Caenorhabditis elegans: one gene and its partners. The protein of the gene in region 4 interacts with the protein of the main gene of each other region in a pairwise test. Each region holds a gene or a part of one and is shown on either strand. Other genes may lie near its edges. The genes, in order: K07E1.1, cpr-5, hrpr-1 and klp-15.

Region 1 (3,447 bases), on a different chromosome or scaffold from region 4:
CAAGGAAATATTGGTACTCCATCTTTAAGAAATGAGTTGTTGAAGCCTAGAGCCTTCGAGTTTATGCCAAAATAAAATAGGTCGTTGGTAAGGCAGACGTAGGCTATAAAAACGTTTCAAATAAAATCACCTGTTTTGTGGCAATCTATGTTGGAGTTGACAAGACTTACAAGAGGGTGAATGCAAATCGAAGATATTTGCGAAAATTGTGATAAACTATTCGTAAAATTAAAAAAAAACAGTTGGTATACCTTAATTGAAATACCTTGAAACTACAGCAAATGCATTAAAAATGCCAACTATTGCCTCATCTCTCTTAACCCTTTTAACCCATGCTCTTATCACAATGATTCCGTGCATTTTTCAACTTTTCGAGTAAAACCTTACATCATTACCCCTGTGTACTCTATCTTTCACACACTATTACTCTTTTTCTTATCAATAAGTTCATCGATGAGACCATCTGCTACTGATCTCTTTTTGCTTTAGCAGTGCTGTTTCAATGTGCAAAGTTGAAAGACGAAGAAAATTGGTTTTTTATTGAGTTTTAGTTGCAAAAAAAAATAATAAAAAAGGAAAGAAAATATCGAGATAGAGATGAAGAGAGCTCTATTTACAAGACAGATGGGAAGGGAATTTTCAGAAGTTTTTAGTTTTTTTTTTACCGGGCCTGGTTTGAAAAGTTTACAAGACAATTTTTTTGTACAAACTGATTTGATTTCAGAGTTTGGAAATTTAGGAAAAAAGGTCAGTTAGGGATTTTATGGTGTTTTTGTGTTGGGCGAATCGTTACTCGGAATCTTCATCTTTGTAGAATCGACGCATTTTGACAAAGTTCTGAAAAAAAAACCAGGGTTTTTAAGTCTCTAAAAGTTTAAAAAATTCAAATTTGAAAAATCACATTTTCAGTATTTAGTTTTTTCTCAAAAAAAAAAGTTGAGACTAGCTTCTATAGTAGGCAGGCGCGTTTTCAGGGTCAGGCACCTGCCTGACATCTGCCTGCCTATCTGCCGCCGGACACTTTTTGGTTCCGCGCCGTACTAGACAGAAAGCGCAGCTCACGTCACGAGGTCGGTCTAGATAGACAGACGAAGCAGGCGTTTCGGCGCCTACATTAATGGCCTTTTCTCTATCATTTTTCAAAACTACCTCAAAAACTGTAGCACTTACATGTGGTGTGGTTGTGAATCTGAAGCAAGTGTTGGCTGGAATCAAAATCAAATCCCCGTACTCGCAGAAAATACGGACCCATTGACCATTCTTATCCTCCACATCATAATAAGCTGTACCCTCAATGATCATTCTTGCCTGCTCAAATGGAACCGATGATTCCTCGAATAACTCCTCGATCTTATCATCGAAGTTAGCAGTTGTCTCGGCGTCCAAAGTGAAAATATCCTCTTTTTTGAAACTATGCTCCAGCTTCAAGGTTGTCAATCGCTTGGCAAGAGCAACTTGATCAAGTGTGTCCAACTTCCAGTAAAGTGTTCCGGTTCTCTTGCTCAACTCATCTGGAGTGATCTTCTTTGGTGGGAAAAGATGATGTGGGAGTCTTGGGTCACCACATGGGTATGGCTCCATTTGCCAGATTTGCACCATTTTTAACTGGAAATCAAAACTGAAAGCAGGAGAAAATAAAGGAAAGAAGGGAAAAAACAAGTTTAAAAAAAAGAAAATCGAAAATTCACAAAAAAAAGTTTCAATTGGCAGAAAAGTTAAATTAGGTAAATTGTAAAAAAAGACCTGTAAAATGTCGGATGCTTGAAATATCACAAACAAACACTAACTAGAGACTGAACGTCGTGCGTCAGAAGGATAAAGCATAATTGCATTGATACAGTGAGAATTAAGAAATCAGTTACCTACGCGTGCTTTCTCCTAAACTGAACAGGCTAAACTTTCAGCAAATCAATGAACAATTTTCAAAAAACAACCTAGACTGTGCAAGAACCAAATATCAGATTTCCAGTCAGAATTAAATGAATAGGCGGTAGGCAGGTACCTACGCGTACCTGCCTACCAAAGCAGCCTTATCCGTGCCTACTGCTAACCTATGGCTCGGCTTGAACTTTTTTAGCTGGCGGCGTAAGCCTAAACTGTGAAAATACCAAATATTGACGTTTAAAATATACTGAATAGGCAATGAGCAGGTACGAAGGCCTGAATATGTCTCTGCCTACCAAGGCAGCTTCAAATGAAGCACTGAAACCATGTGCGATTCGAGATGAAAGGGTCAGATCAGAAGAGTAGTACGGGGGCGGAAGTAAGTCTACAAGTGGCCAGGTGGTTGTTGAAATGAAGAATATTGTCAAATTGAAGAGGCGACTTCAAGCCCGCCTTCTTTTTTCTTTATATTTCTTTTCCTCTCCATCTCGAATGGCAAATCGAACAAGTAGAAAGAGGAGGAGAATTTGAAATAAAAAATAGATAGGTCTACTCTCTTTTTATCATCACGGGTTGATATACAGTGGAGAACAAACCGAATGTGGTAACCTTGGCGGGGTAGGTAGGGGTAAAAAGAGATTGGCAACTTGATGATTGAGTTTTGTAAATTGGCTATTCGGCCGATTGCCGACACGTCCTCGACGACTTCATTTGAGTTATCAGTGGGAGTTGATAGGCTAAAGATATTGGTTCATTTGACAAGTAGGGTAATTTGAATTTGAAATCTCGTGTTCCATAAATGTTTAGAGTTTGTTCGTCGAACTCTATGCACTGATTTTTGATATATTTTTTTTGGGTATCAACACGTTTTTGGTGATACCTTCTGACTGATTTTACGATGAAAACAAGGATGTTTGGACGGAGAAAACATGCTGATTTGTGATATTATGGGTACTTGTTTTGCCTAGTTAAGGTCCAATGGCTACAAAAATACAGATGTACCCATCTAGGTAGTCACGGTAGATTAAAAATGGGCAGCTGACATCAATTCAGGCCGGAGTTAATCAGTTTATAATTTTTTCACAATTTATTCTGATTTTTATTATCTTTGAAGAAGCTAGAAGAAAATTATAGATTTTTTTATTCAAAGGTTCGTCTAGGTTAAAATATTTGGAAAATCATTATGGTTATGAATTCGGATAAGTTTTTGTGCCTACTTGCCTACCTACCTACCTACTTCTATTCGACTGCATTTTTAAAGTTATTGAACTAGAGCTCAGCAATTCAAAATTTGTTTTTATGTACATTATTTCATCGACTAAAAAATCATTAAAAAATTAGACAAGGTAGTAGGTATGCTCGTAGGCACAAAGTAGGCGCATGAAATTGCGTACCTTAATTCTTGTAAAGACAATATTTCGACAGAATTTTTTTTTAAATTTTTAGTTACAAAAGCGGTTTCAATTTTCAGTATTTTTTGAAATTTGAATAAAAATCATTTTGAAAAAAATTTAATGCAAAAATATTTAAAAAAAAACAAAAATATAAAGAATTCCGTTTGAA
Region 2 (3,621 bases), on a different chromosome or scaffold from region 4:
TTAATTTCATAGATTTGATTTAAACCGCCTATAACTATAAATGTTTGGAAGTGAATCAGAGCGAATTTCACAAATAATTTCTCGAATAAAGAGCACAGGCTAACTGAAAATCGGCCCAATGACCATTCCGGGCTGTTCTTTTTGTTCGCCAGTTAGCCGTCTGTAGTTTCGATAAGAGGCAGGCGCGGGTTCAAAGTCTGATGGCCTGCCTGACACCTGATCACCGAAAGCGGGCCTCCTCGCTTCAATTCTACAGGCATGAAATCAAAGATTTGGGGTCTACGCAACGCTCACTTTTTGGGTTCAGAGCCATATTATACAAAAGGCGCGGCGCGTGGCAGGCGGAGGTAGCCGCAAGGTGTCCGCAACATGGCAGCCTGCACGGGTTCCCTAGTCCGCGGTTTGTCTGCTGCCGTCAGGCCGGTTTTGAGCAAATCCGCTCCGTCTCCCACCCTTCTCGTAAAAGTTCGACCGGCCAATTTTTTTCAGCCAATTACAGAGATACTGAAAAACGAGGTTATACTTTAAATAATATCATAGCAAATTATAAAATATTTATCATCATTTCATAATATACACATGGAAATCTCCCTGAAGAATTATTTTAAAAAAGTTCCGATAGCAGCCTTAGTTGTGACGAGCCAAGTCTGGAATTCCGGCAACAGCCGAGTGCTCGATTCCACACTCGTTGAGTCCACGAATGATACGGAAGTATCCCTTCTCTCCCCAGGCGACGTTCCACGAGTTGGCGACAAGCCAGTATGGGGTTCCGTTGTCGACTCCCCATCCGAGGATCTTGACGGCGTGTCCTCCGAGGGAGGCTCCGGCGGTGTGTACGTACACTCCAGTGGTGTATTGGTAGAAGTCCTCGTAGACGGTGAAGGCAACCTCGATTGGTCCGTTCGTAAGAATCTCGGTCTGGATTTGCTCGACCTTCTTTCCGACGGCGTAGGCGGTAGATCCTAGAACTTCATAGTGTTAACCAGCGCCGCTTACACGTGTAAACTCACCAAAGTGCTTATCCTGAAGATATGGGGTGGCGTAGTTGTTCTTGGAAGTGCAGGAGTCGACACACTTTGGAGTTGGCTCGGTGTCTTCTGGGCATGCTGGCCACTTGACGCCGTTCACAGTCTCGCCGCATGGAGCGATCGAGTATGGCTTGCATCCGAACTGGGTCTCGTAGGATCCTCCGGTGACGAGACCGTGCTTGACCCACCACTTCCATGCCTGGATTGGGTAACCTCCTTCGCAACTGGAAAAAAATGGTTTTGAAAGCAACTGTGAGTCCATGCCGATCACTGTGTTCTTATCAGCAAGAACTTTCGATTTTGGAGATTAAAACTACGGCGCTAGAGATCATTTTGTCATAAACGGAATTTGTCGATTCTTATCGTTTTTGTGTAGACGCGTAGTTTTCAAATCAGAATCGGAGCCTTACCCATTTCCGCAGCTGAACATTCCGGTGCAGCACGAGAGCAGATCTTCAGATGAGAGCAAAGTGTTAACGGCTCCATTGGAGGCAATGCATGTTCTGTCGGAGATAGCTTCAGCAGCGGCGAACGCCCAGCAGGAACCGCAGTCAGATTGATCTCTAATGTTATTGATGGACATGCAGTTTGGCCATTGATCACGAGCATCGAAGTGGTCTGGAATAGCGTCGGAGACCTCAGTAGCGACAATATCCTCATCCTTGTGTGGCACCAAATACTTAACATCCATCAGCTTCTTGGTGATCTTCTCCTTTGGAATGACTTGATGTCCAGCGGTCCAAAGCTTTTGGGCAGAGTTGACATAGTCGATCAAAGCTTGTCCAGTGAGAGCTGGGGCTTCACGGTGTCCAGGAATCACCACAGCCGAGGCAGCAGCCACGAGAAGAATAGCGGAGAGCTTCCACATTATGAGAGAAGTGTCTGCGAAGGTTCGCGTCTAATGCTCATTAAGTAGTCGGTACGCATCATTCTTATCAGTTAATTTTATCAGTATCTTTTTTAAGAATTAAAAATTAAAAGGAATGTGACGTAAATGAGTCGCGCGCCAAATATACTTTCACTTGTCGGAATAGATCATTGATGTAAACATTTTTTAATACTGTAAAAATTCTAAGGGGATTAGGAATTAGGGATGAGCCTAATACCTAAGCTTAATGCCTAAGCCTAAGCCTGAGCCTAAGCATAAGCATAAGCATAAGCATAAGCAAAAGCATAAGCATAAGCATAAGCGTAAACCAAAGCGTACGCCTAAGCCTAACTCTAAGCCTAAGCCTACGCCTAAGCCTATGCCTAAGCCTAAGCCTAAGCATAAACCTAAGCCGAAGCACAAGCCTAAGCCTAAGAATAAGCTTAAAAGTAGGCATAAGCCTAGTCCAGAATTATTAAAGCAGATTTTATGAAAATCCATGAATTTTAGTAGAGCTGCATAAAATTTACTTTGAAGCAATTTTGTTAATCATTGTTCACCGAATAAGCTCCGCTTGCATTTCTTTTTGGATAATATGATGTAAATTTTCTGAACTTTGCAACTTCAAATCAATGATAAGAAAGCATTGAATCAATCATTTCTAACCCGAAATGCGGAAAATATTGATTTGCCTGATCGGAGTCCTATTTCAAGCCGATGGAGTACCACCTTCAGGTTTTTTTACAAATTGTATTTCTAGATTGAAAGCAATATTTTCAGAAATTGACCGGATAATTCATTATGTGAATTCGCAAAAAACTACTTGGACTGCTGGGATTCCTGCTCTGAGCCGGAATTCTATGCTGAAAACTCTTGTCACAGACGCTGCAACTATAGGATTCAAAATCCAGAATTTCGGGGTGTCACAAGCAAATTCCGATCTATCTCCTTCATTTGATGCGAGAGAACGTTGGCCGGAGTGCATGTCAATTCCACAGATCAACGATATTTCAGAATGTAGTGAGTTTTGCTTTAAATTCCAGAATATGAACGGTAATGGCCTAAATTTTTCAGAGACAAGTTGGGCGTTCGCAGCAGCCGAATCAATGTCTGACAGGCTTTGCATTAATTCCGGAGGATTTAAAAATACCATTTTATCCGCTGAAGAACTTTTGAGTTGTTGCACGGGAATGTTTTCCTGTGGGGAAGGGTGAGGTGTAGTTGCACGTCTCTACAGGTCCAGTGATCCTGTCAAAATTTAGAAGCGGATGGCAGGCAGGCAGGCAAACCTGGAGGCGTGTCTGCCTACCAACAAAAGTTTGCGAAGAAAAGTCTCTATCTTATCAACTTTCAAAATTTTTAAAGCTCGTAAATTTTTCAACATTGAGAAATGTATATTTAATCAATTTTCTTGCGGCGCGTGATGCAAATTTGAGAAAAAAGTGCAACAACTGCAAAATTGTTTGATTAAACGCAGACGTGCTTTTTATTAAAGGTGGAGTAGCGCCAGTGGGGAAAATGTTAAAAACTATTTATATGGTGCCAAAATGACCGAATATCATAATAAAACGTTTCGAAAAATTTTTGAACTTTTTTTATTTACTGTCAGAAAGTGACAATTACTCAGTTTTTGCCACTCATAATTTTGGAAGTCGACCAAAAAAAAAATGTTTTTCCTACATTTTTTATACTTTAATTTTGTTTTAATTATTTATATTATAACAT
Region 3 (7,042 bases), 6.5 Mb from region 4:
GTGTTAAATTGCCTGAAAATGTGTGCCTGCTCGGCCTACCGCTTTTTCTTCTTTTCATCGCTCATCTGACGAAGGTTCTCCCTGCAAAAAAAGATATATTTAAAAATTAAATTTGAAAATCGTGAAATTTAGGTGTTGCGGGGGCGTGGCGACGTTTGCAAACTTGCGGCGCGGTTTTTTTTTGATTTTTCAGCGATTATTTTAGAAAAAATTCACTTTTTTCTGCATTTTTTTGTAAAAAAATTGAAGATTTTGAGTGAAAAAGGCATTTATTTTTTGGTTGAGGCTCGAAAATTTTACATTAATTTTTTTTTTCTGACAAAAACTGGATAAAAGTATTAATTTTTTGTAAAAATCCAAAAATATTTTATATTTTCCAAATCCTGAAAATCCCAAAAAAAACCACGCCGCAGGCTTGCAAACGACGCTCCGCCCTTTTTTCCCTGCCGCATTGCAAAATTCTCCGAGCTTTTTGTAGAAAACTGCGAAAAAAAAGATCTGAAACAGAGAAATCAAATTTGGGCAAACTTCCGAAAGAAAGAGTAAAAATTTTGAACGAAATTTTTTTTTATTTTATTTTAAAATTGTGTGTGCGTCCAATTTTCACAGCAAAAGGTGAAAATTTCGAGACACAGAAAAAAAAAACGGAATAAAACGGTTTCAAATGGAGAGAGAGGGAGAGGGTGAAGGGAATAGAGAAACAGAGAGAGAGAGAGATACGTTAAAAACCATTTTTTGCAAAGCTCAATATCAAAATCTCTATTACAATTAATGAGAAAATACAACTTTTCAGAATGGTTTTTGTCACTTTTTGAGGTCGTGAGAGATTAACGGGTTGGGTTGAGGAGAGAGAGGGAGTGGAAAAATTTTTTAAAAAATTCGAAAAAGAAATGAGGGTAATATGTATATAAATTATAGAATTTCGATTTTTCGCACCACTTTCTAAAGTCGAACGATTTTTGAGATCAAAACCATTCGAAAAACGAAACAAAAAAATTTAGAAAAATAATGCAAAATGCAAAATTTTTGGTTGAAAAAGTTTAAAATTTTTTAAAAAATGGGGGGAGTGAAAAATAATTTAAAAAACAAAGAAAAAGTGAGTTTCTGCCGGGGGTGCAATTTAGAAAGTGCTCATGTTGACGTCAGCCGAGAAATCAGGCTTTCCGTTGTCTCGTTTCGATGCTGGTCCCCCTCGTCCGTCTCCCGGGCGCTTTCCTCGACCGCGTCTGTTTGCCCTGTAACCTCAGACATTTATTAGGATTATTCTTGCACAATTTTATAAAGATATATGGAGAATTCTGCGCCAGTGGGGGGGGGGGGGGGGGGGGGGGAAATTGATTTGAAAAACACAAAAAATTAATTTTGAACTACCCTTGTTCAATAGAGCGCGCTTGTATTTTTTATTTATTTTAATGCATTTTTAGTTTATTTTTCTCATTTTCTACTGATTTTTTATATTTTCAGTGTATTTTTATTGGAAATTTGAAGAAACGTTTGCAAGATTAATGCAAATTTTTCACAATAAGGCAACTTTATGGTTACGTACCCATACAGATGCTCTCTAGTGAAAAATTTGCATTTTTCTTGAAATTTTCTTCAAATTTCCAGTGAAAATTTACAGAAAAATCATTGGAAAATGTGAGAAACGAATTTTTTAAAAATTACAAAAAATGCAAGCGCGCTCTATCGAACAAGGGCAGTTCAAAATTAATTTTTTTGTAATTTTTTAGACAAATTCCGTCCACTGGCGCAGCAGCACTCCACCACACTTCAAAACTTACATTCCACCGCGTCCAGGTGGTCCACCACGGAATCCTCCTCCACCGCCCATTCCTCCTCTCGGCGATCCACGCATTCCTCCTCTAAATCCACCGCCTCCGTAGGCTCCAAAATCTCCATAGGCTCCCGGGCCACCGTATCCACCACCGTAACCTCCTCCATATGCACCATATCCCATGTCACCACCGTAGCCACCTCCCCAAGGCATTGGCATGTCGTAGCCATTGTTGAAGCTGAAAATGTGTTGATTTTTCATAGTTTTTCACTGAATTAACTCACTGATTTGGATAATAACCTCCTGGTCCAGCATTTCCACCCCACTGACCACCTCCACGTTGTCCACCACGTTGTCCATGATTTCCAGCACCACCACCAGCTCCACCGAATCCACGCCCACGCATCACTGGCTTCTTCTTCTTCTCCTGTGGTGGCTTGGCGAGTGAAGCTTCAACAACAGTTCCCTCGAGCTCTTTTCCATTCCATTCTTCCATTGCTTTCAGGCAATCGTCACGCTCGTTGAAGTGGATGAACGCGTAGTCCTTCACCTTCTTAACTCTATCCAGACTTGCGTATTCCTTGAAGAGCTCGTTCAGCTTCTCCTCGGTCACTGCTTCCTTGATGTTTCGGATGTACAGCACCTTCACCTTCGACATGGTATCCTCGTCTGGCTCTTCTTGATGCTCAGCCCAATCCACGTAGACATCAGCGTTGAATGGACGTATCTGGAAAGAATATTTTTATTTTTGCTATTTTCAGAGAAAAATCGTGTAGATTTACGCAGCTCGTGTAGTTCTCGAGGAGAAAATTGTCTGTTTTGGAACGTTTTTTTTTACCTTTTAAATATAAAAATGTATAGTTTTATAAGTTACAATGCCTCAAAAATCAAGAAGTACATAGATTTTCACTTAAAATACTGTATTCTAGACGAAAATCGATTTCTCTTGACTCGTATGCTCTTTTTGGCTATAATGCTTCTTTTGTGCCATTTTCGCTGCCTTTTTACCTTTAAAATGGCTAATTTTATAGCATTTTAGGTGAAAAATTGATTTTTCTCGATTTTCACATAAAGCACTTTGAATTAGCCGCTTAAAGGGGGAAAATGTCCCAGAAATCAAGTATTTTCACTTTTTAAGTCGCTAATTCCAATTGTTTTACGTGAATATCGAGAAAAATCAATTTTTCACTTAAAATGCTATAAAATTAGCCATTTTAAAGGTAAAAAGCCAGCGAAAATGCAGCGTAAATCCTCCAAATCATCCAAAAATTCACCTTATGCTGTGCAATCTTTCTCTTGATATCAGAAGCCGTCTTGTGATCGATGAAATCAACGAAACAGAATCCACGATTCTTTATTTTCTCATTGTCCGGCACCGAGTAGACGATAACGTCAACTACGCCCTCTGAAATGTTAAATTATTGCTGAAAGTGGCTAGATTGAAAATAATAATAATAATAGTAATATTGATTAATAAAAAAGACCACACGATCACAATAGAAAAAATAAATAGGATACAGAAAGAAGAAAAAAAATCGATTTTTTCTTCGCTTTTTTCACTTTTTTTGAATCTTTATTGCTTGAAAATCGAGAAAATGTTTCGAAAATGGGTTCTGTACCTGCATGAGTCTTGAGCTCTTCAAGAATTTCGTCTTTAGATTTCGTCTTCGGAATATTGCCAATAAAAAGGCGAGTGTTAGCGATCGAAACGTTCACTTTGAGTGGTTTTCCAGTCGAAATTTCGTGGCCGTCATACTAAAGTAAAGAAAATGGATGAAATGCGTTGTGATGTTGGTTTTTAAATGGTTTTTTGGCTCGGAAGGCGGGAATTCTCTCCAATTGTGTCCAAAATGCAATAATGAATAAACACAACGCATTGGGAAGCAATTTTTCAATGGCTAGAGGCATCACCCTACCCTACTGCTCTGAAATTGCATGGGGAAAGCCTAAACTTACAGTCTTGGCGGCAGCCGCAGCGTCTTCCTTATTACAATACGTGACAAAAGCATATCCACGGGAAGCACCGGACATTGGATCCATCATAAGACGGAGATCCCAGATTTTTCCGGATTTCTCGAAGAGGGGAACCAGGGTGTCTTCGAAGACGTCCGTTGGAATGTGTCCGACGTAGATCTGAAAATGGTTGAATAGGTGAGGGTCTCATAAAAAGAGAATTCGCAAAACTGGGATCTGGCAGCGGTAGTTTTCTTTTAAAGCCATTTTTCTCGGATGCGCGTTTTTTTTCGAAATTTTAATCCGAAAAAAGGCACGAAGCCTCATGGGCACGGTCTAGAGAAAGCGAAACGTCGGTTGCAAGTTGCAAGTCTGCGGCGCGGTTTTTCGGTCTTTTTGCTTTTTTTCAGTTTAGCGATAGTAATTTTCCGCTAACTTTTTCAACTTGTAGGTTAAAGCTGAGCTATTTTTGATGAAAAATGGCCAAGTTTTCACAGTTTTTACCGTTAGAGCGTCTGAAGGAACTCTGAAATCTATAGAAACTTGGCATTGTTTTCTGGGCGAAAACGTGGTCATTTTCCTTTAAAAATAGCTGAAAAAGGAAATAATCAAGCAAAATCGATAAACTTTGAACAGAAACGGCAAAAATTGACGGAAAAGCTCTATCGCACACATAAAGAAAGGCAAAACAACGCGCCGCAGAGCATCGTTGTAACGTATTTCTTCGGGAAAATTGGCGTTAAAGCCGCTTCCAGATCTCATTTTCGTGGTGCCTCTCGCTTCTACCTCGTGTCCCTGTCCAGCTGGCCCTGTAGCAGGTCCTTCCCAATCTGGTGGAGGTCCTCCGAACTTTCTCTGTCCAATTGTGACTTCAATGGTGTATCCGGTGGTTTCCAGTAGGTTCTTCAACGCGGCCAACTCTGGTCCATTGATAAGCTTTCCGGATGTTACGGCAGCTGCTCCCTGTTGACGGCACCGATCTTTGAATGAGCGGATCAGTGAGGTGACGTAAAGCGATTTGGTGGCAACTCCGAAGAGTTCAGAGTTCTTGATTTCGGTAAAGATGAATTTTGCCTGATCGAGGTTCACCGAGTTGATGATGTCGACTGCACGATCATCGAGATCCTCTGGGCCGAGAAGTCCGGACTCGTAGATTTCGCACACGACGTCGGCGAGGGCTGGCTTCATTTTAAGCCCGATAAGCTTCTTGTAGTTCTCGGTCTCGGCGTATTTCTGGAAATTCAACGATTATTACTGATTAAGTGCGCCTTTCTAGATAGAACATACGCTTGGCTCCTCGGTCTTTCCATTTTCAGCCGGCTTATCTCCGTTGGTAACAACTTCTGCAACTACTTCTGCGACAGGAGCAGCCTCTTCGGTCTTGGCTTCAGTCGTTGTTTCTGGAGCCTCCTCCTTTACTTCCTGTTTGATTTCCTCACTCATGGCGGGAGATCTGCAAAAATCGATAATCTAAATACGATAAATTGCTCTGAAAATAGCAAAAAACTGTGAAAAATTTGATGTTCCAGCAGATTTTAAAGATTCAAATCAATTTAATTTTCAAGCCTATTTTCACAAATTTACTGGAATTTTGATTGAGAATATGAGTGAAATAAACTCTGAAATTAAGAAAAAGTCTAGATAAAGCAGAAACTGATAGAAAAATTAAGAAAAACCAGTAAAAAATCAGGAAATTGTTCAAATATTACATTGCACATGAAATACATCGAATTTCGGAGTTTTACTCAATTTTTTGAAGGATTTTATGTGAAAATTCCGGATTTTCAAGGTAATTTAACATTCTAAGAGGTTTAAAATCGTGAAAAACGAAGGATAATGCACAAAAAAGATGACGAAGACGTTCAAAATTCGAATCGAACGGCGGCAAAAACAAAAATCGAAGCGGCGAGCGTCTTCGGTACGGGATATCTTTCACACTTTGGGTAATGTCCCTTTAACTTACACCGTCTGCGTCTCTCACCCCATACCACACATCGCAGCACATCTCTCGTCGGGCGGAGCGGCCGCGTCGCGGTTTACTTGTGAACAGATGGTGTTCATTTGCACGAAAAGAGCAGCAGAAGACGTTGAATGGAACGGGAAGGGACGAGGATGTACTCTTTGAATGGAGAAAGGGAGAGATATCATGGGAAATCGAGAGGATCAGAGAGCATAGAGATTGAAAAGGACGTTTTGGATAACCATGAATGGTGTCCAGCTGCACCGGTGGGCTTCATCACTGAATACTAATTTAAAGGGACCTAGAAATAAGTTAGAGAAAGAGGCAAATAAATTCATAAAATTTTAATCTCGGTGGGAACTTTCTAGTACTTCAGTGAAAATCAAAAAGGTAAGACTCTTTCAAAGTCTTTCAAAAAACGTGTAAAATAAAATGACATTGAAAAGCTGACAGTGCCAGCGGTCTCGTGGTGTAGTGGTTATCACATCTGTCTAACACACAGAAGGTCGGTGGTTCGAGCCCGCCCGAGATCAGTCTTATTTTGCAGGTAAAAACTATTTATTTATGATAAAAATGAGGTATATTTAGATGAGAAAGACCATGGATTTGTTCAATTATTTATTTTTATTATTTTGATGATTTATTGAGGAAGAACTGAAGATGTCGGTTGTGGTGGTCTCCAGCTACACCGGCGAGCATCATTGAGCAAGACACAGATTTCTATGAAATAAAGAGCCGAACACAAGAATAGAGCAGCCTAAAAAAGAGCTCCGAGTCTTAGAATTTTATAAGTTACTTACCGTAGCCAGTGCTGGCATCGTAGCCCATTCGGGATTCATTTCAGCCCAATGAGCCGCACAAAACACCCACATCAAGATGGCAGACACAAGGAGGCCCACCGAAACGAGCACATACAGAAGAGCTTCCTGAAAAATAAAGAAAAACTATTTTTTATTTGCATTTAGAATAGGGAAATCGAATTTTACCTTAAAAAATTAAACAATTCGAAAACCCAAGGTTGTGCTCTGAGGAGAAAATGCGGGTTTTCCGACTTTTTTCAGAGAAAAATTCAAATTCTACACATTTTAAATGCATTCTATCACAAAATTGAAGTAATTTACATTTAAATGTAAGTTTATATATAAAAATGCGAATTTTTCGCCAAATTCTCATCAGTGCGCAAGTGCAGGGTAGTGCAATTGTGCTCTGCCAAGAATATTTGATTTTCTCACAGTTTCTAGTGTTTTTTTTTGTAGAAAAAAAGGTTACTGAGGAAGTGTCAGTTCACATCTCGAACTATCTTGGCTTGATCTTTCTGACCGGTTCAACGTTCTTTTTGTTGAACCAGGCTTATT
Region 4 (4,476 bases):
TCTTGGATTCAAACGTCTTGATCTTCTTTTATGGGTTGAGGTTTCACCAGAGCGTAACCAAATTCCGCTCATTCTTGACGTGAAAACGATTTCTGATGCTCTCAATATTTTGTAATTATTTCTATTGCTTGCTACCTGAATTCACGTGTACCACAATATAGTCATGTATTATTTAATTGTTCTTGTTTTTTTGTTGTTTCCAAATACAATACAACTGTTTTAAGCTTTTTCTTTCGTTAAAATTTCTTTAAAACAGAAATGTAACAAAAAACATAAATTTAAACAAACTGTATGGAAAACTGTACAGTTTTCGATACAACGAGAGTTTGAAACTACAGTACTCTTTAAAGGGTCATGCCATTTTCGAATTCATCAAAAGTTCGTCGGGTCGAGACATACATACTACAGTAAGAAATGTAATATTCTCATAAAGCTCAAAACAATGTATTTATAACCCAATCAACAGCATTTAGACCGGACTATATTTTTCCTATCGGGATCTCCCTTTGTTTTGAAACAGACGATTAAAACTCAAAAAACGCAAAGTAAAATTGAAATTCGTTCATTTTGTTAATGATCGAAATATTTAGGTTACATCAGTATAAAAGGTTTGCATAAGGCAATAAAAATAACGTTATTTTACATGAAATGTTAGAATAGAATTATATGTCTAGTTCATAGACATCTGGGACACGTCACCCAAGAGAGTCCGTTGCTGCACGGCCGATCCGATGTTAGTACTGCGCATCTTTGAGGCGAATTCGATGCTTCTCTTGGACTCTGTCGCTTGCTCGTTGCATGGATTGAGATTGACCACAACCATAGTCTTCGAGTTGCCACGTCCCAAGCAGTCCATCAGCACTTGTGTCAGTTTGCTGTCGCGATATGAAACATGTCCCTTCTGGGATCTTTGCTGGCTGATGCACATCTGAAGGATAGACAACGACTGGTTGATATTAGTCATCTCCTTGAACTGGTCGCCACTGACACCAGACTCCTTGGCACGTTCGGATCCTGCGAGATCCACAAGTTTGAGCTGGCACGATGTTGAAATTCCTGTATATCAATATTGTGAATTAATTATTTTTATTTTCGAAAGTTACCAGTTGATGGCTGATGAGCTGTAATCTTCCACATATAAACGGCGTGCGAACGAGACGAGCTCTCATTGCACTTTGTCGCCGCCGTCTTCCTGCCACCGTCTGCTACACGAAGAAGTCTAGCCACATCCGAGACATTGGAAATCGTGTGCTCGGAGAGCCCAATCATGGAAACCGTTTGATCGTTCAAACGAAGTTGGACAACGGCGCGGTCACTGAGAAGGTCGTATGCCACGTTGTTGTAGACTTCTAGGAAAGACAACGAGAAGTCGAATTTCCATCCAAGTGACTCGAGCTTTCTGGATTCGGCGAACAGAAATGCAGCTGCTCTCGGGATGATTCCTTCCTCTTCACCATTTCCTCCTCGCATCGTGTGAGTTTTGCCACTTCCGGTTTGTCCATAGGCAATCAATCCGACGTTGTACCCATGCAGTGACGACTGAAATTATCAATTTTCAATTATTAATATTATATTTTGAAACTAACCCGAATGAACTCCTCGACGTTCGCGAACACTTCCTTCTGCGAGAAGACTGGCGTGAAAACCTTCTCGAATTTGACCACAATTCCAGGCTTCGAGCCTTCATTGATTCTGATGGTATCGATAGCCGGATACTCAATTGCAGAACTCGAGGCGTCGGCTTCAGATTTGATCAACGGCCGAACGCGAACAGCCACACGAATTTGACCGCGTAAATCGACAACATCGTTGTGCAACTTTCTCAACTCAGCTTCCTTTTCGTTGAGCAGATCCCGGAGATCGTTGTTGTGCACACGATAATCCTCGCACTCCTCCACTTTCGCCTTGTTGACTTCTTTCAGCGTGCTCAATTGATCTTGCAGTGAAATCAGCTTGCGATCCGCTCCTTCAAGTTTGCCATCCAGGATTTGGATCTTGCTCTTCTGATGTTCAGCAAAGTCGGTAGCCTCAGCCATCGCACTCTCGAGCTGCGCAATTTTCTCTTCAAGAAGCGCCATCTTAGAAGGGAGAATAGGCTTCTGTGCCACTGGTCGGGCTCTTGTCACCGACGGCTTCAGGGAAGAAGTCGCAGTTGAGCGTTGAGTGGATGGTGGCGGTGGACGACCTGTGCGAAGTTGTCGAAACGTAGAAGCTGCCGTCAGTGTGGAAATACGGCTCGCGGTGGATTGCATCGTTGGTATGGGACGGGAACACGACGCTGGTTTGGCCATCGCTGATCGTTCTGGCAACGATGCTCTACCAGTTGCAGGCGTTGTGGGGGTAGGCAAACGAGACGGAGGACGACGAGCAGCGGCTGAAAACTCGTAATTAAAGTAGTTGTTAACAAAAAAGGTTTTAAACAAAAACAAAAACATGTTTTATTTAGAAGTGTGAACACTTTGAAATCACGAGGAAGTTATTTAAAAACACAAATGACAAATTTACCTCCAATCGTTATTCCTCCAGGAGCCGACTGTCTTGGGATTGTTGTTGAATTGGCTTCTTTGGTGGATGGCGCGGCAGCACGTCCTCTTGTGATCTTCGGCGTTGCTCCGATAGTCGACCGAAACAGGCCACTTCTTCTTCGAGCGACATTCATCGCGAAATTTGGGACAAAAATGAGGAAATCAGCCCCTTCATTGACATTTTCCCGCTCAAAGTTGAACTCCGCCTCTGAAAATTCCCGCCAAATCGAATGGATTACCGTAGTCAACTACGGTATTAGATCAAAAATTTATATCATGTTGAGCTCATCCAGAATTGTCGGATATAATTATTTTGTTGTCAAAAGGCATAAAGAATGCCGTAAAAATTATTTATAACTATAACACAGAAGGCTTATCCATAATTGCACTGATATCAGGTTATACAAACAAATATATAAAATGCAGGTCTAGAAATTATAATGTGAGCGACACTCCGATATTCCGGTGCGCGCCTTGTTTACCGTATATCTACACCAAAGTAATTGCAAAAAAAAAATTTGAAAATATTTGCTTGCGAAAATTTTTATACACTTTCTTCAATATTTTGATTTTTCTGTGGTTTTTTAAAAATATAGGTTGGTAAATGATTGTTTCCAGATGACTTCTATCGATGTAACAGAGATTATCAAATCATCGACATCTTCTTTGTATCAGGTAAATTGATATTAAATTTTTTTGATTATAAATAGTTTACAGCCAGCAAGAAAGAAATCTCGTTTTGACGATAGTGCTTCTTCTTCATCTCAAGCTGGCCAGCCAAAACCAGAAGATATTCTTGCGGCTTTGGAAGCCGATCAATCAAATTATGTGGCTCTCGACGATGTGCAAGTTAAGAAACTTGTTATTCAACTTGACAAAAAGATGCGATTAAATCGAGAACAAAGAGTTAAAAATCCAGATGATGCTCAGAAATTCATGGAATCGGAAATTGAATTAGACAAGGCAATTCAAGAAATGCATAGTCTGGCTTCTCAACCAGACCTTTATGGATCGTTTGTTGAAGTCAACGGAGTTGAAATTCTTCTTCAATTATTAGGACACGAGAATACTGATATTGTGTGTGCAACACTTAGTCTCTTGAGAGAACTTACAGACGATGATGTGATGAACGAAGGAGAAGATGGAGCAGCTGAACTTATTGAAAGTCTTGTGTCTGGATCGATTATCACAACTTTGTTAGCATGCGTAGAGAGGCTCGATGAAAGCGTCAAAGATGAAGCGGATGGCGTCCATAATGCACTCGGAGTTGTGGACAATGTAAGAAAAATCGATATTTGAAAAACAAAACAATATATTTTCAGATGATTGGTTTCCGCGATGACATTACTGAAGAATGCGTAAAGCACGGATTCACGGTTTGGCTTCTGAAAAGATGCTTTCAGAAAGGTGCATTTGATGCGAATAAGATGTACGCTTCGGAACTTCTTTCAGTCATATTGCAGACTTCTGATACTGCAAAGGCAAAGCTGACAGAGAAAATTGATGGCATCGATATTTTATTGAGAGTGAGTAGCCAAACAAAGTATCAAGAATAAATTGAACTTTTAAGACCATTGCTGTGTACAAAAAGAACGATCCAGCAAATGTAGACGAACGAGAATACATGGAAAATCTATTCAACTCACTTTGTGCCGCACTTATGCATCCGGCTAATCGAAGTACGAATTTTTTTGAATATAAACACCAAAAAAATTGCTCTTGTTCAAAATAAATGTTTTCAGAAAAGTTCCTCGACGGAGAAGGTCTTCAATTGATGAATTTGATGCTCCGAGAGAAGAAACAAGCAAGACAAAGTGCTCTGAAAGTTCTGAACCATGCAACATCAGGAGACGAGGGAATCGAAAATTGCAATAAACTTGTCGAAATGCTCGGATTGAGAACAATTTTCCCGTTATTCATGAGAACACCTTCAAAGACAAAAAGAAAGGAT

Evidence for each region.
Region 1: the proteins of klp-15 (region 4) and K07E1.1 interact in a two-hybrid assay, tested with the Caenorhabditis elegans proteins (one large-scale study listed by BioGRID).
Region 2: the proteins of klp-15 (region 4) and cpr-5 interact in a two-hybrid assay, tested with the Caenorhabditis elegans proteins (one large-scale study listed by BioGRID).
Region 3: the proteins of klp-15 (region 4) and hrpr-1 interact in a two-hybrid assay, tested with the Caenorhabditis elegans proteins (one large-scale study listed by BioGRID).

What each region holds. Positions count from the first base shown.
Region 1 is NC_003280.10:4,549,253-4,552,699, reverse strand, and holds K07E1.1 (putative inactive acireductone dioxygenase 2), read right to left. Parts: upstream 1,618-3,447; 5' UTR 1,600-1,617; coding exon 1,171-1,599; intron 838-1,170; coding exon 790-837; 3' UTR 523-789; downstream 1-522. UniProt on the Caenorhabditis elegans protein: Probable inactive acireductone dioxygenase.
Region 2 is NC_003283.11:1,132,059-1,135,679, forward strand, and holds cpr-5 (Cathepsin B-like cysteine proteinase 5), read right to left. Parts: upstream 1,979-3,621; 5' UTR 1,897-1,978; coding exon 1,439-1,896; intron 1,253-1,438; coding exon 1,011-1,252; intron 963-1,010; coding exon 628-962; 3' UTR 540-627; downstream 1-539. Other genes in the region: cpr-8 (Peptidase C1A papain C-terminal domain-containing protein), read left to right, coding at 2,568-2,631, 2,677-2,916, 2,971-3,106.
Region 3 is NC_003279.8:12,059,718-12,066,759, forward strand, and holds hrpr-1 (RRM domain-containing protein), read right to left. Parts: upstream 5,181-7,042; 5' UTR 5,171-5,180; coding exon 5,015-5,170; intron 4,961-5,014; coding exon 4,514-4,960; intron 3,908-4,513; coding exon 3,731-3,907; intron 3,530-3,730; coding exon 3,394-3,529; intron 3,180-3,393; coding exon 3,049-3,179; intron 2,502-3,048; coding exon 2,059-2,501; intron 2,013-2,058; coding exon 1,782-2,012; intron 1,387-1,781; exon of another isoform or gene 1,293-1,386; intron 1,236-1,292; coding exon 1,121-1,235; 3' UTR 554-1,120; downstream 1-553. Other genes in the region: ksr-2 (Kinase suppressor of Ras B), read right to left, coding at 40-65; F58D5.2 (MARVEL domain-containing protein), read right to left, coding at 6,328-6,444, 6,488-6,613.
Region 4 is NC_003279.8:5,576,523-5,580,998, forward strand, and holds klp-15 (Kinesin motor domain-containing protein), read right to left. Parts: upstream 2,673-4,476; 5' UTR 2,660-2,672; coding exon 2,506-2,659; intron 2,375-2,505; coding exon 1,587-2,374; intron 1,540-1,586; coding exon 1,104-1,539; intron 1,057-1,103; coding exon 671-1,056; 3' UTR 548-670; downstream 1-547. Other genes in the region: rmh-1 (RecQ-mediated genome instability protein 1 homolog), read left to right, coding at 1-115; ctnb-1 (Beta-catenin-like protein 1 N-terminal domain-containing protein), read left to right, coding at 3,144-3,200, 3,243-3,803, 3,848-4,051, 4,096-4,204, 4,268-4,476.